Astyanax mexicanus: one gene and its partners. The protein of the gene in region 3 purifies or fractionates together with the protein of the main gene of each other region. This does not show direct contact. Links are inferred from orthologs where the notes say so. Each region holds a gene or a part of one and is shown on either strand. Other genes may lie near its edges.

Evidence for each region.
Region 1: the proteins of upf1 (region 3) and stau1 purify together in Homo sapiens (affinity purification with mass spectrometry; 7 studies listed by BioGRID and IntAct, with this or other methods). This does not show direct contact. The link is inferred for Astyanax mexicanus from reciprocal best matches to the Homo sapiens genes UPF1 and STAU1.
Region 2: the proteins of upf1 (region 3) and gspt1 purify together in Homo sapiens (affinity purification with western blotting; 6 studies listed by BioGRID and IntAct, with this or other methods). This does not show direct contact. The link is inferred for Astyanax mexicanus from reciprocal best matches to the Homo sapiens genes UPF1 and GSPT1.

What each region holds. Positions count from the first base shown.
Region 1 is NC_064412.1:10,366,267-10,374,354, reverse strand, and holds the start of stau1 (double-stranded RNA-binding protein Staufen homolog 1), read right to left. Parts: upstream 3,101-8,088; 5' UTR 2,900-3,100; intron 955-2,899; 5' UTR 818-954; coding exon 622-817; intron 442-621; coding exon 320-441; intron 208-319; coding exon 30-207; intron 1-29. Other genes in the region: pbrm1l (polybromo 1, like), read right to left, coding at 4,705-4,868, 4,958-5,162, 5,644-5,702, 6,846-7,010, 7,466-7,657, 7,767-7,968. UniProt on the Homo sapiens protein: Binds double-stranded RNA (regardless of the sequence) and tubulin.
Region 2 is NC_064422.1:23,693,426-23,701,379, reverse strand, and holds the start of gspt1 (eukaryotic peptide chain release factor GTP-binding subunit ERF3A), read right to left. Parts: upstream 3,101-7,954; 5' UTR 2,762-3,100; coding exon 2,599-2,761; intron 711-2,598; coding exon 669-710; intron 1-668. Other genes in the region: dmc1 (meiotic recombination protein DMC1/LIM15 homolog), read right to left, coding at 4,440-4,509, 4,708-4,824, 4,969-5,029, 5,523-5,637, 5,920-5,993, 6,076-6,167, 6,253-6,325, 6,413-6,454 and 5 more. UniProt on the Homo sapiens protein: GTPase component of the eRF1-eRF3-GTP ternary complex, a ternary complex that mediates translation termination in response to the termination codons UAA, UAG and UGA.
Region 3 is NC_064411.1:48,585,003-48,592,624, reverse strand, and holds the start of upf1 (regulator of nonsense transcripts 1), read right to left. Parts: upstream 3,311-7,622; 5' UTR 3,119-3,310; coding exon 2,948-3,118; intron 1-2,947. UniProt on the Homo sapiens protein: RNA-dependent helicase required for nonsense-mediated decay (NMD) of aberrant mRNAs containing premature stop codons and modulates the expression level of normal mRNAs.

The DNA of each region.
Region 1 (8,088 bases), on a different chromosome or scaffold from region 3:
CTATAGAATTTGAATGTAACAGAACGTACACTCGCCCTTGTAGAACCCACCTGGGTTCCTGCCCTGATGGCGAGGTCCTCTGTTGCTGGGTTTGGGCAGCGACGTCTGGGCAAGAGCACAAGCTGCTGCAGAGTGTTGAGCTTTCTTTATGCTGGTCCCCTCTGCATCCCAGTGCTGCTCCCCCAGAGTTAACCGCACAGAGAATATCTAAAACAGAGGAGAGTCAGAGACAGAGAAAGACAAAAATGAGGGACATGAATGCAGAAATAATCTAAGCAAACAGAAGAGAAGTCTCAGGAACTGTATGTGTATGTGGTACCTTGGAGTGGGCTGGTCCTTGCTCGCTGAGAAGCTTATACTCAGGTTGGATCTTATTGTAACGGGCTAATTCATTCACTAAACACATGGGGGTCTTCTCTTTAGGGTTTGCCATGTTAGATACTGAAACAGAACAGAGTGGAAACAGTAATATTAGGCTACATTGTATTCTATAACTTCTGTATTTTTGAGAAGATCTGACCAACTCCCACATTCAGAACAGGTTCTGAGCCTAAAGTACACTAAAACCACATCTTTATAACGTAATTACTATATTTAGTCTTCTATATACATTTCACTCACCTGTAGGGTTACAGAAGGGCGTGGCTGAGGCTGAGGGCAAGGCGGAGCTTCGTAGTGGATGACTGGCACTCTCTGAAGGTAGGGAGCCAGAAGGAGAGGGAATGCTGAACCCAGGCTGGGGTGGGGTCAGTTGTACAGGGGCAGAACTGGCCATAGTGGTGGTGGTGGTGGGGGACTGGAACTGAACCTGGGACATTTTGACTGGATTGTGTGGATACAGAAGATGCTTTGCAGTCTTGTGGAGGGAGAAAAGCGCACAGGAGAGGTTGCAAGAATGTGCAAGGGAAAGGTGAATGCAGGTGTTTTAAATGGAAGGAGACTGCAAAGCTCTACCTGCAGGAAGTGAGGAATAAAAAAAATGTTAAAGGATGTTTAAATAATTCAACGTACAACAGCAATGAGATTCAAGTGTCCAGTAAATACACTCCGTACATGATGGAGATTAAGACCTTATTACCTAATGTAAATATAAAATAAAAAATCAAAGCATATCAATATGCATTTACATAACATTGAGAAGAATACGTCTGATGATAGGGATGGCAAACAAAAAGTAACTGCTCCTGTGCTTATTCGCCATCAAAGTCCTGATGTATTGACTGACCACCTTCTTGTTTATACACTCACTGCCCATTACAAGCTCTATTCATACAAGAACACTTTGTAGTTCTATAACTAATTACAGACTATATTTTAGCTGTCCATTGTAAAAGGAGTAAATCCATTTTAGTTTTTTTTGTTAGTTTACTACACAAATGGAACACACAAACTGTACTCTACAGTACTGTTGTCTAAATAATTATGGGTGGTGGAATATTCTTAGTCCAGCAGTGACAGTGAGGTGGTGAGGTGTTTATTTGATCCACTTAATTCAAAACAACACGAGTACAGTAGCTAGCTAGCTAGGTTAACACATAACCACCACGTCAGTATGACAATGAATCACTGTGTGCAATGCTGATGATGACCCACCACCAAACAATAGTTAAGTTAAGTAGCTTAGCTCTGTGTAGCCTAGCTGCTCTCTGGTGGTCTTTTTGGTGTCCTGTCTTGACCATGGAAGACCAGGGTAAAAGGATTAATGATGTGTCAGGCAGCTGACAACACAAGACAACAAAGTTATACAATGGGAATTAGACAGCTAAGCTAGTTGCTAGATAGCTAAATAGACAGCTCTGCAAAAAAAATTAAGAGATCACTTAAAACTGATGAGTTTATTTGATTTTACCAAACTGAAAACCCCTGAACTACAATCAAGATATCAAGTCCATATTCATAAGGTTGCAAGAGCTCAGAAACCAATATTCGGTGGAATAACCCTGGTTTTTTATTAGATTTTAAAGCATCTTGGCATGTTCTCCTCCATCAGTCTTACACACTGCTTTTTGATTACTTTATGCCACCTCTGGTGAAACAAAAAATCAAGCAGTTCAGCTTGGTTTGATGGCTGTGATCATCCATCTTCCTCTTGATTATATTACAGATGTTTTTAATTAAGTAAAATCAAGGGGAAAACATAATTAAGTAGTCTCTTTTTTTCCAGAGCTGTTATATAGCTCACTATAGTTTTAGCTTGCTAAAGAAAGGATAGGGGGCAAGTTAGTTAGTTAGATTAATGAATAAGTGTCAGGCAGCTGACAACACAGAACGACGGAGCTAATATACAATGAAAAATAGACAGCTAGGTTAGGTAACGTAAGCTAAATATATATAACGTTAGTTTTAACTTACTAAATCAAGGATAGGGGTCTAGTTAAGCTTGCAAACCTATTAATATGCTACAACTTGACAGATAACAATAGCTATCCTAGCTAGGTTACATTTACTTTAAACCTCAAGATACATACATATACTGTATTATTAATGTGTCAGCTGCCAGGAAAATAAAGTAAACCTAAATTAAAGCATTAGCCAGCCACTGTTACCGTGTAAACAGAGAGAACAGATGGAAATAGCTAACGTTAACTAGCTAAAGACTGGGTTAGCATGCTAGCTATTGTTACAGCTATGGCTAGGTTATCTAAGCTAACGTTAACTTGTTAGCCAGCTAAGACACAAAACAAGACTTCAGCCAAATGACAACTGCGTGTCTAAGACCTATAAAACGTCTCCATCACGCACAGTTAACGCATTATTATAGGTACAGGATTGTACAGTGTGGTATTTGCCGGTGGGGGCTTAAAAAAAGCAGGAGCTAGCTAACAGAGCTAGCGTTAGTTAACCTAGCGGCTCTGCTCCCTGCTCTGCAGCTCAGCGCCGCCACATTACCGCTCCTCACCTCGGGTTATATACTGCAGGTCCGCCCGGGAATTAGTCCATGAGTGACGCGGTTTGAGCTTTAGCACTGGCCTGCTTTAGATCCAGGTTTATGGGAGGCTTTTTGTGGGGGTTTCTGAATTAAAATGTAGGTGAGGTAGAGCGGAGAAGGTGGACAGGGCAAACACTAAAGAGAATTGCCTATTTTTCCGCCCACTTCCAGGATGTGACATCATGCGAGGCAGGTTTGAGAAGGGGGGAGACCACTTCAAAATGACCAGTTTCTCTTATTTTAATGTTTATAGCTAACGTTAAATGTTTGAGTAAAAAAAAAAAAAACATTGTGGTTTTATTCTATAAACTACAGACAACATTTCTCCCAAGTTCCAAGCAGAAATATTCATTTTAGAGCTTTTAGAGCAATTTGCAGAAAATGAGAAACAAATAATCTAAACAAACAAAAAATGCAAATAAAACAACCTCATATTCATTTAGAAACACTAACACTTATTGTTTAAGAGTTTAGAAATCAATATTTGGTGGAATAACCCAGATTTTTAATCACACCTTTCATGTCTTGGCATGCTCTCTCCACCAGACTTACACGCTGCCTTTGAGTGCAAAATGCAAAAAAAATCAAGCAGTTCAGCTTTGTTTAGTCGCTTGAGACCATCCATCTTTCTCTTGATAACATTCTAGAAGTAGTACTGTATTTATCAAAGGTAATGTATCTAAATGTGGAATCTAAAGTATAAAAAAAAAACATTCTGGTTTGTTTAACCCTTAATGTTTACAGGATGATTCCACATGTTACTGTACAGCTTTGGTGTCAAAACAATGTGTCCAAACTTTTGACTGGTACTGTTATATATCTATAGCTAAACCAGTACTTTTATACAATAACTTAAGTAAAAAGCTTGGGTTGAGATCTCTTTTTGAAACGATCCTTGAATACAAGCATACAGAACATACATATTACATTATTATATTATATGTTTTAACCCTGTTTTCTTGTACACATCTTGCTGAAGTCAGTAATTTTTTCTGACAATTATATTTTAAATCCACAACCATTCTCCCTTTGGCATTGCATTTTAAGTTCTATTGCTACTGTTTGTACAACTCTTGAGGCTTTAATATACTCCTTATGACAAAGAGTCACGATTGCTTAAATAAAGAAAAGAAACCAACAGTGTATTTTCTTATTGTCAATTTTATGTGGAAATATTCAGGTAAGGACTGAAGTACAAACTCACACATCTGCCTTATTTCTGACCATACAAAATGCAAAAAACATCACATCAATAAAATAATGATAAACAGAGCTTATTCTGCACCTTTATAAAAAAGATTGGTAAAATACGACCTTGTTGTATTATTAATCCACCTGATGTGTTCACATCATAAATAAGACCTCAAGTGGTTAAAGCCAGAGACATATTTCATAGATATCAGTGTCTGAGATGTTAGCGCTACACATCTGTTCAACTCAACAAAAGTGTAGCCAATAAAATACATGTATTGATCAAAACAATGAAGCAACGTAACCATATTTCATCTTAATTCTTCTAAAAATTTCAGTCACTGCTGATATGACAACTCCATATCAGTAGTTATAAATTAGCTAATGCATTTGTGACAACTCCAGTGCATTAATAAATGTAACCACGGATATTACTAAAACCTTTACTTCTAAACAAAATAAGATGAACTCTTTTATTGCTATGAAACATACTGAGCAACCAGCTGCTTTAGAAAGGATATTAGATTTGGTTTGAAGTATAGTCTTGCATAAATTAGGATCCTGAGCATCAAAAGTTTAAAGGGTTATAGATTGTAGGCCTGCCGGATGTTGAGAGTGTCTCTCATCATCAGATCTCTGAGTCTCCACAACGCATCAGCCATTGTGGTGTGAGCGCCTTTACTCTTCAGCCAGTGAGAAGGAAGACGGCTCTCCTGCTCCCTGCTCAGGCGACCGTCTGTCCTTTGAGCTAAAATGAAAAAGCAAAAACTGATTTGTAACAATGTTTTCAAAATAAATAAACAGGTTTCAATCTGGACACTTAATTTTCTCTATTACCCTTAAGACTCTGGTCCCATTTGCTGATTGTGGGGCTGTCTGCGCTAAGCCCCTCTATGTATTTTAGATAGGCTTCTGAATGAAGGAGCCTCTGTGGTTTGGGAGGTGGAGCAACAAACATGGGCATGACTGGCTGCTGGTGAGCAGGTTGACCTTGGCTTGGATATGGCGGTGGAGCTGGCTGCCCTGGACCGTATGCACCCATCTACAAAAGGAAACAGCATTAGACCTGCAGTTCACTGTGCATATAGACAGCATTAGAACTAAAATTAAAATACATCAAGAAAACAGCCTCAGACATCACGGACCAATCAGAATCAGCTTTTTTTCTTTTTTCAGTTAGGTTGATTGCACACAACAGTAAGACTGGGATAATAAGATAACAGAAAACTATGATTAGTCTACTGTATTAAGCAGATACACTATTTTGTTACACAAATTCAACATTGTTTTATAACCCGCACATTTTGTAATTATGTGCTCATCGTAGACATACTGATATCTTGCACACTTGTATTTAAACGGTCATCTACAGACAATATGTATATATGGATAGGTTTCTTAAAACTTTATAAAATGCTTGACCTGAGGAATGAGTACAAACAAATTCAAATGTACCTGTACTACTCGTACCTGTACAAGCGGCAAAGTAAATAGTAAAATTTATATTTAAAATTAATCTTCACCTGAAGGCCGTAAGGATTTCCTGGACCAGGACTTCCATTCATAACAGGGCCCAATACACCTTTAAAAAAAAGATCAAAAAAAGAAAATGATGGTGACGTTTGGCGATCCATTAGATTATTAATAGATTTGCTTATTTAAATAGCAACTGCTAAATGTGTCTACATTGATTAAAAGGTGTAAATTAGTGTGATGTGTGTCTTTGGTGTGTTAGTTGGTGTTTACAGAACTAACTTTTATTAGTAGAATAAAGGTGACTGCATGTGCAAATTGTAAAGATTGTAAAGAAGTCCAACAGTTGGATAGGTGAGAAAGTGAGAAATAACTACAATAAACCACTGCCATCATCAGCAACTTAATATCACAGTAAAGGGAGAATGAGACAGATTCGTCTACCTGTAATAATAAATCAATCAATTATGACAATTGCAGTTATATTAAAAAAAAATAAAAAAATAAAATAAAAAAAAAAGTTTACTGCCACACGGATTACTGCAAACCAGCCACCAATGCAAGACCACATTACTTTATGGTCTAAGACAGAATTTTCTTGCTTTTGTTTTTAATAATGCTCACAGATGTTTAAGGTACATGCCGAAATCTGGATTCTCTTTTTAGTCAAAAATTTTAGTTTTAATTTGAGTATATACATAAATAAATAAATAAATCAGTAAAAAAAAATATTATTAATTTACTTTGTTCTAAATAGAACATATAATTGTAATTACCTATACAGAGCTATCTATTTAGCCTATATTTTAGAAGGACTAGAAGAAATATTTAAATAAGTAGGTATCCACACATAGCCAACACCACCACACCAGCCTCAAAACTACACGACATGCCAATAAAAAAAAATCCTTTATGTAAGAATATGTAGAGAAGTATATTCTGCTGTTTATATCCTCCAATATTTTTTATTTTGTAAACTTCAGGCACCATTATGCAGGAAGAATACATGCTTCTTTGCTCTAAAACATCTGATTAAAATGCTAAGTTTGCTACGAAAAGTGAAAATAGAAATTACATTTTATATAAGATTCTTATCTGCAATCTTCAAAACATTTATTTAAAAAAAAAATAACCTTTTTCTACTTTTCTAAAATATCATTCTTGTCATAGAGGGTAAAAAAGTGACGTTTACTATAACATAACTTTGTCCCTGATTGGGTGGTGGGTTGCTTGCTTGTGGGATTGTTCTTACCAGGAGGGGGCATACCAGGGTACCCAGCCATGCCCGGCGGAAAGTAGTGTTGAGGGGGCAGCGGGGGCACCCCCATAGGGTGAGGAGGCGTGCCACCCATACCCATCATGCCTTCAGGAGGGCCCTGCATAGGCATGAAGGGTGGGCCATAATTTCCCATCATGCCTTGGGTGAGAAGGGAGAGACAACACAAAAGAATCCATGCATCGGTGACATGCAAATGTGTCTGGAGTCATGCACTACAAAATAAAAGTCTAGAGGAGTGAGTTAGAATGAATAACATGAGCCATAAGTGTCAAACCTAGGAGAGACAAATGACAGAAAAGAAGTAGTATTTGCATGTGATGTTACAGAAAGACAGAAACCATGCAAAAAAAGAAAAACAATAAACAGAAGTAGTATCAATTATTACACACTCAATACATACAAAATCGCCAGCATTATGAACCAAAGCATATTAGATACACTTGGGGGTGCTGGCGTGTGTGTTATAACTGATGAATGTTGGGAATGAGTTGGGTTATGGATGAGGTCAGTAGATGAAGGGATTTTTTGGAGGGTGCCCAGATGCTGCATCTTGATTGTCTTGGGGAAAGGGGTTGAATGGGATTTGGGGTTACCTGGCATAGGTGGCATGGCTTGATTTAGCATCCCCATAGCAGTTGGGGGAGGCACCACCCCCATCCCGACTGGGGTACCTGCTCTTGGGGAAGCCTGCTGCTGTTGCTGAAGCTGCAGCTGCTGTTGTTGCTGCTGCTGCTGTTGGAAGGCTCTCTCTCGCTCCTGCTGCTCCACGAGTTTAGCTGCCCTTTCTGTGTACAGACAGCATGCAAGATACCAACTTTTTAAAGATACAATTTGTGCTGTCTGGGATTATGCTGGGATTAAAACAGATCAAGGGCTAAATCAAGATGAATGTACCTTCATACTCCCCCTTCTTAGTGGATTCCAGGTTCCTCCACTCTGTACCCACAAGACGACTCAACTCTCCAAAAGAATAATCTGGGTGCCTAGCCTTGATTACCGCCCGCATCTCACTGCTAAACAGGATATAGCCACTCATGTTGATTTTGCGCTTGGCTCCTTCTTTTTTGGACAGACCTTTCATTGACTTTGGTGTGGACTGTGCAGAAACAGGAGTACAGAGAATAAATGTTAAAACGTGTTATCAGTTTTTAGACACTCAATTTATTTAATCTGGACTGATCTGATTCATATTTTACTAGTAAAACTGATTTATAGT
Region 2 (7,954 bases), on a different chromosome or scaffold from region 3:
CTCTTAGCTTTCCTGATCCCGCGGGACAGGTTGGCCCTGGCTGACCTCAGGCCTGCCTGGGTCAGCCAGAATACCTATTCTTCTGAGCTGAAGTGATGACCACATGTTCGGTTAAACTTTTTTTAACAATGCTATGATAAAGAGTTTCATTGGCAACAGATTAAGCAACATGCTTGTGATCTGGTCACTGGAATTACACACTTCAATAACCTGCCTAAAGCTGTGCTTTTTACTAAACTGCACTCATTACTGAGAGGACAGTCTACAAAATGTATCTCAAAGTATTTTACAATTATTTTCCTTGATTCCCTCTGTTCAGAAGCAATGTGAGAAGATACTAAACATGGGCCAAATCATCACATTATCCTGGTTACAGATAGATAAACCTGCTGTGAACCGGATGACTTCACTCACTATGTAGCTGGCTGTGCTTGCACAAGTTAAGTGGAGAGAATGCATGTAATTTGAGTACACATGGGGTGCACAGCAAGGATGATGTAACAGTCTCCACATGGCCTCTGTATGGTTGAACTAACATTAATGAAGAAACAGTACAGCAACACCTCAACCAGCAGGAACATGACAACTGTGACTTGCCTGTGCTGATAAAAAAAAAAACAGGCGAAAAATATCTATATACACATTTTTAAAAATAAAAGAACACCCACCTGCTGGTTCCGAAATCTCCATGTGTGCAACTGCATCTGTACCTATGGAGAAATACAATGCAATTACTCAGTTCATATTGCAAATAAACTGACAGCTTTTGTAACAGTGTAGTAGTAATGCTGTTAAATGTGTTTGACCAATAAAACACTGATTTGAACAGAACATTCTATACACAACTATGTATAAGACCGTCAAAACACAGAATAACAAAAGCACAAAAGGTGTGAGGCTACTTTAAATTGTAGCTTTTTTCTAGGTATAAATAGGTGAACAAATCATCTACAGAGAATAACTCCCTGTGCTTTGGAGAGTGTAATCCACATTTGCACCACTGCAGTAAATACAATTTATTCTTTATTAAAGCTGTACACAAGGGTCTGTTGACAAGCTGAGAGATACAGAACCAATGTATGTAGTGAGAGAAGCATGTGGATTGAGATAGTGGAGTAATATAACAGGGTTATGCAATTCTTGTAGGAGGTCTTATGAAGCCAGTTACTAAACAAGGGTGTCCAAACTTTTGCATTCAACTGTAGGTACACTGCCAAACCATGAAACTCCCTCCCACAGAATATATTAGCTTTTGATAATTAGCTTTCAAGTAATAGCTGTTAATAGCAAGTTAGCTAGACTAAATAACAATACTGTTTAGCTACGTGGCACAAACTACACAGATCAGCTTTATCCAGCAATACATTAACACTAACCCGGTGTTCTGTCGAGTTGTGCTACCTTGTCAAACCATGCTACCCTAGTGTATATTTAACTGTAAATATACAAAAGAAGAACTTATATTAGAGCATGTTCCCAGTAGGAGTCCCAGTAGAGGTAGCGTTAGTATATTTGTATAGCATAAAGCACTGTATCATGGTCAAGTTATGGCAATGAGAAGTCATTACATACAGCTTTCGTCTTTTTATTTAATATTTATAATAAATATTTTAAATAATAATTCTTGTATTTGTTATTATTAATTTATTGATAAGTATTAATATTATTAATAATTATTAATTAATATTATTAATTTCCATTTACACGTTTGTGCAATGACTGAGTCCAGGTGTATTATTATTTAAAAAAAACACGAGAAATAATGAAAACGTGTACGTCAGCGCATGCGCAGTGCCTTTATGAAGCACGTATCGATGGGTAGCATAACTCGACAGAACACCTGTTTGTCACTACTGTGATGTTAACTACAAACCTAGCTAGCTTTCAGCTAATATTTTCCACTATTGAAAACAGACTTGGTATAACTAACTACCATACTATTATCTAAATAGATAAATTTATTAGAACAGCACTACATCTAATGACGACTAGCTGTTAGCTAGCTATGTTAACTACGTGAACTAGCTAGCCAGCCTCAGAATGAACGCTGTTGTTGGCCCGTTAAGGTAACTCTTAGCTAGCTGCTTATTTCCACCACTGCTATAAATGGAGAAAGTTACACGCCTGTAGTGTCACGACACATCTGGACATTTATTATACAGACGAATAAGAGTGTTATCATTTTATTTCTTACACTTTGTCCTCTCCTACAGGCTGGTTTATCTCTTAAAATGCTTGTTTTCATGTGAACAGCTGTTTATCGCGGCGTCTTAGCTAGCTAAGTTAACTGTTAGCTAACTGGCTAACACTCTCCATAGCGACATCCTTCTTGGAGTAGAGGTGGGTAACCCAGGGCCACAAAGTAAAAATCCATCCCAGGGTTTTGTACCAACTGCCTATGCGGCTCTGCTGCAGCTAAGCTATACACAGAGCCACCCAGGCAGTTGGTACAAAAACCTGGGATGGATTTTTCCGAGAGGTTACCCACCTCTCGGAGCTAGCTAATGCTAACATTTGGTTAGCTAGCCAGAGCAGTGAACCCGCAGGCTGGCGTTCAGCGCTGAACCCCGTCTGTTCGAGCCCTGTGACAGTCTTTACCGTCTTGCCCAGCGCTTCCAGCGTTTCCTCTGGGGATGAAGGAAGGGACGAACTCAGGAGCGTTGACGTTCAGGCCGGTGAAGGCGGACTGCAGCTCCGTGTCCGGGGCCTCCACATCGTCCTCCTGCTCCCAGCTATCCGGGGCTGTGTCTCTGGAGTCCATTAGTGCTCCACTACCGTACTGTAGCCGAACAGATAACTTAGAGTAGAAAGCCAACACCTGACTAACGGTTAAACAGCCTGCCTTGATTCTACCAGCTATTCCCGGGTCACCGTGCGGGCTCAGGGGCGCGGAGAGGCTCGGAGGGGCGGCTGGTCTACGGCATGAGGCGCCTGCTCTTTTTCCCTACGACAGCAGCAGCAGCACCACCACAGACAGTCCTGCATGGGCGAACCCAGAGACAGGGGTGTGTGAAGACAGCGACCGTGGTGGACACGATCTCCGAAAATGGCCACCAAACGGGCAACTCTTCAAAGTAACCCACAAATATCCATTTCTGAGAAGTTTCACGTTCATTTTTTTCATTCACACGAGCCTGCATGACGTCACTCTTATGAAACAAAACAAACAACAAAAATATATCATATATCAGTGGGTTATTGACCTTTCTAAAACATTTTATCATAACGTTACATTCTTTTACTTAAGATAAAAATGTATAAATAAATAATAATAAAAAAAATCCTGTATAAATATAGCATTTTACATTATAGCAGCGAGAATAAAAGTCACAGTGAATTTAAGTTTAAGTTTGTTTTTGGATTCAAGTCAGTAAATAATGTTTTTAAGGTTATAATCAAAGGTCATGTGTCAAATCTGTGTTGGAGATGTAAAAAAAGAAGAAGGGTCACTTCTCCATATATTATGTTCACGCCCATGTGTAATACCTTTCTGGAAAAGTATTATTGAACATTTATCTAATGTTTTAGGTAACACCTCTATATGTAAACCTAGCACAGTAGTAGCTTAAACGATTTTATCTTCTGCATTAATAGGCAAGAAAACAATTTTACTTTCATTCTTTTGACCCAAAATATAAATTCTACTATGAAATGTGGGAAAAGGCAGTAGAATATTTAAATCTGACTGACTTGTAGATATGTAATATTTTTTAGACTTCTGTTTTATTGCTTTATTTATTTTATAGAATCTTTAAGAGCTTATAACACTGGTGCTCATTATCTTGGGTGTGCTACCAACAAAGGTGTTTTGCTTGTTTTTGAGATTAATTAATGTGCTATTTTCCTGTATGTGGCAATTACTTTGAAACCAATACAACATTAAACATAAAAAATCAGATAAACAATACAAACTTGAACTCTGAAAGTCCCTATGAACCATTTTATGTAAAAGAAAGGTGGAAGCCTTTCACTCAATTTATTTTATGTGTCTCTTTTTCATCTGTTCATAATAATTATTTATATCACTATGCATTGCTATGGAGAAGTGATGTACATTGCCTTGCATTGCTATAAGGTATACACCTGGTGTATATCAGCCCATAGTTGGGCTCTCTTGGATCACTTTGGGAACAACATTTTTCTTTATGTCACTAAATTTACTTATTGACCAAGCTAAACAAAAACGCGAAAGACGAGAATGATTTTTCAGCTACTAAGTAACCAACAGTTCCAACAGTTTATTGAAAAACATCAAGCATAGCTCAGTACACAATCAATGCTGAAATGACATCAAACTTTACCCTAATGCATAAAAAGAACCAGATTATCTGTAAACTATTAATAAATAAATAAATAAATAAATATTAAGATTACATGTGTGTTAACCTAAATTTATTAAATCTTATTTAACCCTGTGTGTAGGACACAGAGTGGTCCCTTTACTCCTTGGCATCTGCTACTCCTCCAGGTGTTATGGCAAAAGTGGCTTCATTTTCTGGCATGTCGGGGCTTAAAGAAAGAAGACAAGCAGAGTTAAAAACATGCTGTTTAATTTAATAAAACATTTTAATGCAATGTAATAATACATCTAATTATAATAGAAAAGAAAGCTATGTCAATCTGTCAATCACAAGTAACAGGTTTTTGAGTTTATGCTCTTAATTACCTTAAATGTATGTGAGAGGTATAGTCACAAAAATGAATTACCTATCAAATATTTTGGCAATTCTCATTTCACCACGTCCTTTCCTCAAACTTAGACGAGTAGTGGAGGCATGCGCCAAGATGTGTCCTCCTATGGGCTTTTTGGGATCTGCCTGAAATCTACAGCAAAGTGATTTCACGTCAGCCGCTGCACCATAATACAGCTTCCATTTTTTAACAGAGTCACTAGTCATTTAAACAGTCACTGGAGACTAATCATAGCTTACTAAGTTTACAGAAAGTTGTTTTATTTTTTACACTTACGTCATCCCAGCTCCTGGGTCTGCTGTCATCTGATTGGTCACAAACACTGCAACGTTGTACTCTATCAAATGAATTGAGCAATATCTTTGAATTTTTATACCAGCGTGTTTCCTTTATATCTTGCTTAATTATTCTAGGTCTTATTGACAATATATGGATAGGACCTCAATCATTTGTGCTGCCCTTGATATTGCACATTGTGCTTACTTAGCATGCAAACCTATTAACACTAATTAACTTTGTTTAAAAACATTGGTTTTATTTTATTTACAGTTTAATTATTTAGGATATTAAAACTTTTTTGTCTGACTATTCCTGATAATTAAAAGCTCACTGCTCTTTGAAAGTAATGCGTAAATGCATTATTAAGCTATTATAGAATTATTATATCAGTGGCATAAAATGTTGATGTTAAAATGACAATAATATTGTATATTAAGACAATCTGTATCTTTCAAAAAGATACAGTTACTTGAAACAGAAAAACAATTGGTCGGTTCATTAGTTTACACCAATAAATGAAAAGAGAGTAAGGACGGAGACACTTTGCAGACCTTCAGAGATTTTTTGAAGCCTTGAGAGCATCTGTGCCAGTTTCTGCTGTCTCTCTGCCAGCTCACCTCTTCCAGAGAAGTCCACCCGAAAGAGAGCCATGATGGAGTCTATGATCTAAAGAAAAAACACTCAATAATTATCCAGTTAAAATGAAGATTAAATGATTCAGCACACAAATAATCACACCTCAAACAGTGAACCAATAACCCAACTATATGTGCACTTCCTATATTGTCGCTTTGCAAACAAATCCATGTATTTCCAAAATTAAAATGTAAGAAGGGAAGGAAATTATTGACATCATTATTCTGGTCCATTTACTATAAAATGCTAAAACATACATGTGATTTGAAGGACAGCAATGATATAATGTTTTGTTTTTCCTATATCACTCACCAACAGTTTAAAGACCCCTGCTTCTTCATGAAATTTAGCAGCAACAAAGTCTAATAGCTCCATCTGATGTTCACCTAAAATATTGACATACAGAACAGTAATTGCAAACAAACTGACAGCAACTCTGTTAGTCTAAAAGTGATGTAAAAGTCTTACTGGTATAGGCTCGGGCATACAGCACATTATCAAGCACAGCTTCATGATCCACATTGAATCTGTCTGCAATGTCCTTTAGCCTGTCTGGGCGACTGAGCATTACTAATAAAGGGAAAACTCCACAACAACAGCAGCTATATTACATGCATTAAACACAGGAAAAGCTATGAAGGATACAAAGTGTTTTCAGTGTCGATGAAAATGATTTTCCCTCCAGTGTACCCATCCTCACCGGGAAGCTGAGCGGTAACTTCAGAGAGCAAGATTTAGGACGGAGGTTCATTCTTAACTCAGACACAACATGCATAATACTTACATGGATGTTTGTATGACTTACCACACAGTGTGTGAGAGAGTTGTGTCTTTCCAGTTCTGAACTCTAGATAAATGTTAAAACAATAAAGAGTCAGCTTAAAAGACAAAATACGGCAGGGGGGAGGTAACAATGTCAAATTGCAGCTTACCTCCAAAGGCTTCAGTAATTGCCATGCTCTCTATTCCCCCTCCAAGAAGTTTACTGAAAAAAAATACAATGATCTCTTTCGTTATGATATTTCATAATATAGAAACAACATATTACTCAAATTGTGTGTAAAAACTTTATTTAAATGATAGAGGGATATGTGTTGTTGTCTTTTGCAGTGTGATGTAACAGTTTTAATATTAAAGATATATCCAGAAAAGTAGTTAATGTCCAAATGAGTCTAATAACTGCTTATGTGAGTGATATGCTAAATGTCTAACAGTAATTTACGTCTTACTCAAACTCCTGACTGCCTGTTGTGATATGGAACACCTGTCTTCTTTTCATACTGTACTCAGAAGCTGTCTGAAATCCAGAGATCTGCAGTGAAACAAAAAAACAACCCCAGAAAACTAGACTCGGGTCTTGAGTTTTGTATCTATACCAATTCAATAGTTAATTAAAAACACTTCCAAAAGAAGACTGCAAAGGAAGATTACCAACAACTTCCCAGCAGCTTCCTTTATCTTGTCCACTTTTGCTTCAGACAAGCCTTTAACATTGCAGAGTGCACGCCGTGTTGTCATCTGGATCCCTTTTACTGTACATATTCCCACAGACTTTAGCTTCTTGATATCAGCCATGTTCTGTGGAAGTAAAACACCATGAATGAGAAAACTAATATATATAATATTGTGGTTATCAATGAAAAATGTAATTATTGTATATATACTCACAATCCCATACTTCTGAAGTAGATCAATGTCTTGGAAGAAAGATTCCTGAAGGTGGCAGGCAGAGACAAAAGATGACAACAGTAGTCAGTAGTAACTAGGTATACTTACTAAATCTGTAACCTGTAAATGTGCTTAAGAGAAACTGATGGATTTGTACTTTCAATTTATAAGACTCCCTTTTCTACTCAAGTGTATTTGTGAGGACAATATATAATAATAATGTGTTTCACTGAGTTAATGATTTTTAGTGTTTTTTTTTTTACTTTATTGCTGATATTTGAAATAAGAGTTTATAGTAGTAAAAACTACATTAATAGAGAACTGTAATTAGAGTTTATACTAGCGAAAACTACATTACCAGATAACTGTAATTATAGTTTATACTAGTAAAAACTACATTAATAGAGAACTGTGATTAGAGTTTCACTAGTAAAAACTGAGGTAAGACTTTATATGCTACTTATATGCTAACACACTAGCTAGCATTACCTCACCTCATCATCCTGATACCCTGCCTCATCTTCCACCACCTGGTCCTCCACTGACTTCATACTGTAAAAATATAACAAATCAAATATAAAATTCAGAATAATAAAGCATGTGAGTTGTACAGCACAACAGCTGTGTGTAACGTAACATTTACAATTTAAAACATCAGCTATGTTAGCTAGCAATAGCT
Region 3 (7,622 bases):
GCAACGGTACCTCTCGCTGCTCTGCTGGGTGGGCGTGTTGTTTGGCTGGTGCGGCTCACAGCTGCTGCTCTCATAGTAACGTTACCCATTCAGACGGTCTGTACATCTCAGCTGATCAGAGGAAAAATAAAAAACGGAGGAAAAAAGCCTCGGACTGCAGCTTATTTATCCGGCGCTAATGCTCCTGACTCAAACCCCTCTCCTTCACATAGTCCTGGTCTAGAAAGTGCTCGCCACTAACCCCTAGCGTTGCAGATAACCGGAGGATTCTCACGATTCAGCGCTGCGAGGGTATGAAAGTGAAAGTAAATATTTCTCATTCCTCACCCTATTAAATTTCACTACTCCCAATATTACTACACACAGGGGCAATACAAAAGTGCCCCCCCGCTCTGCATTGAGTTTTGGTTTGGATTTTATTATTTATTGAGGAGCTAAATTACGGTATTCTCATAGATTATAGTAGTGAGGCGTGCGAGAACCAACCTCGTGACGTCACTTTCAGCGCTGGGACAAGATGGCGCTGCCCTTACTTAAAAAAATGACATTTAGATTGCTTATTATTTTAATTCCGCTTCACTGACAACTGTTAAACTTCTAAAATTTGTTAGAGTGAAAATACATCTTGTGAATTAAACTAAATACTTGAAGTGTTTCATGTCCCCTTTAAACCTAGCTAGAGAAATATTTAGAAATTCTCTCCTATAGACTTGGTAGGTTTGCTGGCTGGCTAACTTATAGCTAATGTAGCTTTGCCACCTCCTTAGCCACTTTAAAAAATTAAAACATTTGTGTTGAATGATATGCATTGCAGTCTTTAAAATTATAAAATGTACATAAATAAAAATAAAATAAATAAATGTTGCATGTTAGTTTTTTTTAAATATGCATTTCAATATTCAGTATCCGGTAAACTGGACATTTGTAAATAAAGGCATGAAATCTGCAAAATTATCAACTAAAATGAGATTCAAGGAAAAAACATAGTCCATTAACACTACATTAACCATCTATGGCATAATTTTCGGTTATTGCACCTTTCCATGCCATACAATACCTTATGTATTTTTAATATAATGTTACATAGCATATCTATGTTCAAAACAATGATGTGTACAAGGGGTTTCTAACTATGTATATGTGCAGGAACATGTACATTTGGCTGTTAGTATTCTTACATTTTTCTTGTAAACTTACTAAAAATATTGTTTTCTTCTGCAGTTAGACCACTTTTGTTAATCATGTTAAAGCAGTGGTTTTCTTTCATCTCTGCTCCTGAAAACCTCTTCCTACTACCCTGCATTTTGGGTGCTTTCTTTATCTAAAACACCCGATTCAAATTACAAGCGTGTTATAAAGTCAAAATTTAAATTTGAGTTTGCTATATCGACAGTGACTGACAAGCTTCCAAATATTATATTTTTTCCTCCCCCAAAAAATATATAATTCTTCTTTTTCGACACTCAAATACATACAATTAGCTACATAAATACAGTAATAGTAAAAAGTCTGGTAAAAATTCAATATTTTTCTTAATTTATTTATTATTAATATTAAGATTAACACTAAAAGGCATTAAAATAAAAGGGAAAACATAAGACATTATTTTAAGAAATAGAATAAATAAAACTTAAATTTTCCAGTAGAGTGCTGGACATATGTAATACATTGTAAATTAGATTAATATTAAAAGACATGAAAAAAGAATTTAACTACTTGACTAAATTTAATTTGGCATCAATATTGAGAAGTGGGTCTGGGATGTTATGGGTTAAAATGAGTAATGGTTGTTTACTTATGTTCTGCAGGAGTAAACATGAGAAAGAATGCTTTAAATTAATTTTAAGTGTAAATTGAAATTATATTGGAGCGAGGAGTTCCTAGTTTGTTACCTGTAGCCTAGGGTGGTTTGTTAGTTAGCTATCTAGGCTAGCTAGCTTAGCATGGCTTTGCCAGCGGTTGTGGCGTTAGCTAACGTTGGCTAACTTTTGCCAAAAGCTGACTGCTTAGCCAAACCAGCCAAAAAGCTAGCTGTTAGCTGAAAGTTAGAGCGTTGATATGCAGTTTAAACCTAAATAACAGGAATAAATAGATGATATTTTGTATTAGTCCAGCTAGTAGTGTTTAGAATATAGTGTTACGCTAAAGTATATCTTAGCTAGGTAACTATGTTTACAGCTCTGGAAAAAATAAGCGACCACTTAAACACCTCTGGAATAAGTTAATCAAGAAGAAGATGGATGATCACAACCCATAAAACCAAGCTGAACTGCTTGAATTTTTGCATTAGGAATTATCCAAAAGCAGTGTGTACGACTGGTGGAGGGAACATGCCAAGATGCATAAAAACTGAGATTAAAAACCAGGGTTATTCCACCAAATATTGATTTCTGAACTCTTAAAACTTTACTAATATGAACTGGTTTTCTTTGCATATTTTTGTTATTTCAGCCATTTCTCATTTTCTGCAAATAAATGCTCTAAATGACAATATTTTTACTTGGAATTTGGGAGAAATATCGTCCGTAGTTTATAGAATAACAACATTTTTCATTTTACTAAATATTATGCCAATAAATAGCAAAACTCAGAGAAACTGATTCACAAACTGAAGTGGTATTTTTTTTCCAGAGCTGTAATAAATGTCAGCGAGGCTAAAAGCGCGTTAGCTAGCTAAGCTAAGCTAACGTAGGTAGCTAGGTTACGCCATTATTAACACGGGCACGGTTAGCTAGGCTAGGTTAGCCAACTAGCCTGGATGCTAACGAAGCTAAGCTAAGCTAAAGCGCTATTTTTTAACACGCAGAAAATAAACAAGCCCGCTAGCTAGGTTAGCTAACAGGTTAGCTTAGCGTTAATTCCGCTAGCCAGCTCCGTTTTCCCCCCACGCCAACTCCACCTCGCGGTCTAATATTCCACCAAACGCAGAGGAATGGGAGTTAGAGACCTGGTTGTCCAGCTGGCTCTGGGTCTGGCCCTGTGTCTGGGTCTGGCTCGGCAGGGTAAAGTCGGTGAACTCGAACTCCGAGCCCTGGGTATCGGCTCCCAGCAGCTCCGCTTCCTCCGTGTCCAGGAAGGTGAGAGTCTGCGAGCTCGGCCCGTACGCCTCTACGCTCATATTCTCCTGTATTCGTATCGTGACCGGCGGCGTCTGTCTTCCAAACCGACCCCCTCCGAGACCAGCGCGCTGAAAAACGTGCAGAAACGCAGCCCGAGTCCGTGCGCGGAGCCCGTTTTCCGTTAAACTCGGAGCAGAACGACGTTTCTCAAATGAAAGCACACTCGCTCCAACTCCCACTCGAAACGGCGACGTAAGCACCAAGCAGCGCACGAGCTGCTGGCGTAGAGCGCAGGGCGGGCGCGTGACGTCCACACAGACCTGCACACATTTTCAGAGAAGAGACATTTATCATAGCACTAATAAAATAAATAGTTATTAATTACATTTTTGACCGTTTGAGGCTAAATGCCGCTAAAAAATAAATAATAATAATAAAAAAATAAATAAATAAACAAACGTTATTTTCACATTTTTGCATTTTGCAAGGATTATACCATCAGATTTGTTCTACACGGTCAGTGCAACGTTTATTGATAAGTTTCAGGCTAAATGCAAACAATGTAAAATTAGATGTAAAAACGAATTATTTAACTTGTATGTAGTTTAGTGTACAAGAAATACGTTTTCCCATTTTAGTTTTCTCTGCACCTCACAATCGGGTTTTTAAGAAAAATTAAAAAGGAATCTTTTCTTTATTTTCTGATTTTTCAAATTTGCATTTTGTAAGGATTATACCATTAGATTTGTGTTACACGGTCAGTGGAACGTTACTTAATTCAATTTTCTGACCGTTTGAGGCTAGATGCAAAAAAAATTAACTTGCATGTAAAAACTCATTATTTATTTTTCACATTTAGTACAGTGTAGAAGAAATAAGTTTTCACTCAATTTTTATAATGCTTAGTTTTCCTTCTCTGCCACTCACAATCAGAATTTTAGGGAAAAAAACTTTATTTTTGAATTTTTCCATTTTTTACATCTTGTAACAAAAATTAGTTGGATTATACGGTCAGATTTGTGATACAAGATACAAAAATGGAAAAATCTGAAAATCGAGGAAAGGAAACTCCATAATTTCATTTGTTCAAACTATACTTGGATAGAGTACAAATTGGACAAACAGAAAGGCTGCAAATATTTGCAAATCCCTATGAATATTTTCATAAATGTCCCTCTCATTTATTATTTATATGTATGTTTATGTTTGTTGTTATGTTTTGCTACTGATTGGATTGATCATGTGAATTTTAATTCAGAAGAAGATTTAAAACTAAAAAAAAAAAGAAAAAAGGGAAAAGACGATGCTGATGCCACTTGTTTCGGATTTAAAGCAGTTAATAATCAAACATAGACTGCAAAAAAATCCATTGGCAAAACTATACAAAATCTATCTATATTGAGAGGTAAATACTTATATTAAAAAAAAAAATCTGCCAATGGGGTAAGCTAATCAAATTAACTTGGGTAATCGAAATTGCTGTTTTAATGCAATGAAAACAATGGCTTGCGAATCACTGTTTACACAAAATACTGAAGTTATGTTAGAACTAGTTGAGAATTGCTGTAAATGAAGAATATTAAAAAAAATCATTTTTATAATATCGCCCAGCCCTTAGGTAAGCAAATGTTCATTAAGACTTGGTTTGGATTTGTAGTTAGGTATGTCCCGATCACATTTTTAAAAAAATATTCAGTACCTAGTATACTGAACATTTGTAGTTAAGGGCATGAAATCTAGAAACATAATAATAAAATGTTCACAGCAGAGTGCAGAAATGATTTACTTTTTTTTCTCACACTCAGAAGTGTGATCCCAAATTGCCTAATGTGCAGTGAGGAACTGTGATTCGGGTAAAATGCATTAAAATGTTTTCTGTCAAATTCATGTTTCTTGTATTTTATGACATTTGTGTGGTATATGTACTAAAACCAGAAACAATTCATTTTCATCTTACCTTTTTCCAACATTTTCTTAACCTGAAACAAACCATGCCTTTAAGAATGCTAGCTGCATGAAAAAAAACAGTCTACAGTCATGACTGCAACACCCTTTATAACTTCAGGGTAAACTTTGGGCCAAGCTATGAAACATGTAAAGCGGGTCAACCCAAGTAGCATGGGGTCCTCTGATTGAGTCTTGGTTCCTTCCAAGGTTTCTTCCTCTTAAAGGGAGTTTTTCCTTGCCACTGTGTCACCATAAAAATTGGCATCTCTGTGGTGCTGCTCGGAAGGGGCGTGGACCTGTTTTTCTCTGTAAAGCTGATTTGTGACAGCTTTGTTGTAAAAAGCGCTATAGAAATAAAATTGAATTGAACTCTGTGTGTCATTTGTTAAATAACAGTGTCTTTATTTATCATGACGTAGATCAAATCACATTTTTTCCTGCAGAAAATCCATTTAATTCCAATAAAGCGTTCACAAGCATTTTTTTTTTCTCACAGCTGAAAATAACAAACCACTCCACAGGTTAAACGTGACATGATGAGAAAGACTGTTGGTAGGTAGACATCATAAACTGGAGCAACCAGCTTCACAGTTCCAGATTGGTCCAGTGTTTCTTTAATAAACAGACAAACAAATAAACAAAAATGCTCCTTTAAAAAAAAATAGACTGAAAATTAAGTAAATAAAAGTAAATTCTTCCACTTCCAGGATTTCCTGAAACTAAAACTTTCCTAAAGCTATAATATTTCTATAACTTATATAGGCACAATTCAGGCCCATAAGTTTACTAATATCATTGCGGTCATATAAAACGGTTCAATAAACTGAAATAGAAATAGAGATAGGAATTGCTCACATTAAAGTTAAGGGTAATATATTCTGCATAATTAAATAATTAAGATATATACCAAAAGACATTCAGAGTGTCAAATGCTTGATTCCCAGGTCAGAACTCTTCACAGTGGTTGTGTGAGTTAATAAACACAAACATGCTAATACCTTAATACATTAATATTTTAATTAGCTTATTATTCAGCAACACAAACACTGCATAACCCTGATATGTTATTGAAGAATGTGTTGAATTTTATAGGTGTTAAACGTGATTGCACCATATCTACTAACCAACAAATATATTATATTATATATTATTTTCAGCATATTATATTATATTTCAGTTTTGAATGGAATTATCCAATTTTATACAACATACACATTTGTGTGATTTGCGTTTTGATTTTGATAAATGCTGTGTTAAATCAAAACCACTGGAATTCAAATCACACTGTACTTACTATTGCAAAGTCATAATAAGTCTCTCTTTAACATCATATCACTCCGAATGACTGTGTATATCTTAATCATTGAACTGAATTATGCAGAAATTCTGAATTTATATTTTTTCCTATTTAAATATTAAGAGCATTATATACATTAATTTGGAGATGCTTATTTATTAAGACAGCAGTGATATATATGCTTGAGAATGTGAACTCTGACATCATTGTGTGGAAAAAGGTCACTGAGAGATGACAAACAACAGGTTATAAAGGTCAACCCTGATTTCACAGTTTCATTTATCACAGGAAAGCTGGCTGACAGTTAGCTGTAGTAGCCCTGAAGAGTTAGCTGTGTACAACGTTGGCAGAAGACCCTTGATAAAAGCAGAAGGCAACAGGATTTTCAAAGCAGTGTGCTTTGACCATGATCATGTATTACAAATACATCATTAATAATAATAAAAAAAAGATACTACTAGGGATGCACAGAATATTTGGCAACCGAAAGAATTCAGCCAAAAATGGCAAATAAAAAGCACTTTAGGTGTTCAGACAAAAAAATAAAAACAGAATAATTTACTGAAGGTACACTGAAGTAAAACGGCAGTGTTTACTCTAATGTTAGGATTTTTTAAAGCAAAGCTGATGTGTAGAGAGTGAGCAAACTACAGGGATAATATATAAAAATATAATTATATATTATATAATTATATATTAAGATAATTACTTAGTTAGAAATTTATGTTAATTTAAGTTTATGACTTGCTAGAACAGCACTGCTGAAATAAATGTATGGCCAGAATAGCACTACTGAGGTAAAGTGTAGTTCTTGGTTGGTTTGTCTGCTGGGATATTTAAAATCTTTAGTGTGTCTTTGAAAAGCAAGTCTACTTAATATTTTTACTTGTAAAAAGCAGCAAACTTAAAAATGTCTTTTTTTTTCGGTTTAGGCACAAACATTTTACTTCGGTGCATCCCTAGAACATCTAATAACTTTTAAGAGCTAGCTAATATTTCATTGCCATAGGCACTGTACAGGCTGACATTTCTATCCTTACCCCCACTTGTTTAGCCCACTCTTTTAGTGCACAACCCACTTGTTACTCATTCCCACCAAATACAACACGTGCTTTCACTTTCAGTATTAACATGAGTGTCTGTGCTAAAGCTGAACACTCCAGCTTCTCATTTTAACTGAAAATAAAATGTGTAATACTTTTATTGTCACCGTCACATCAAATCTTGTATCTCCAAAATGATAAATTTACATTAAAAGCCTGACCCCTGAATATAATGATCTAACTGGGAGGATAGTCCAGGCTCATGTTTAATTCAAA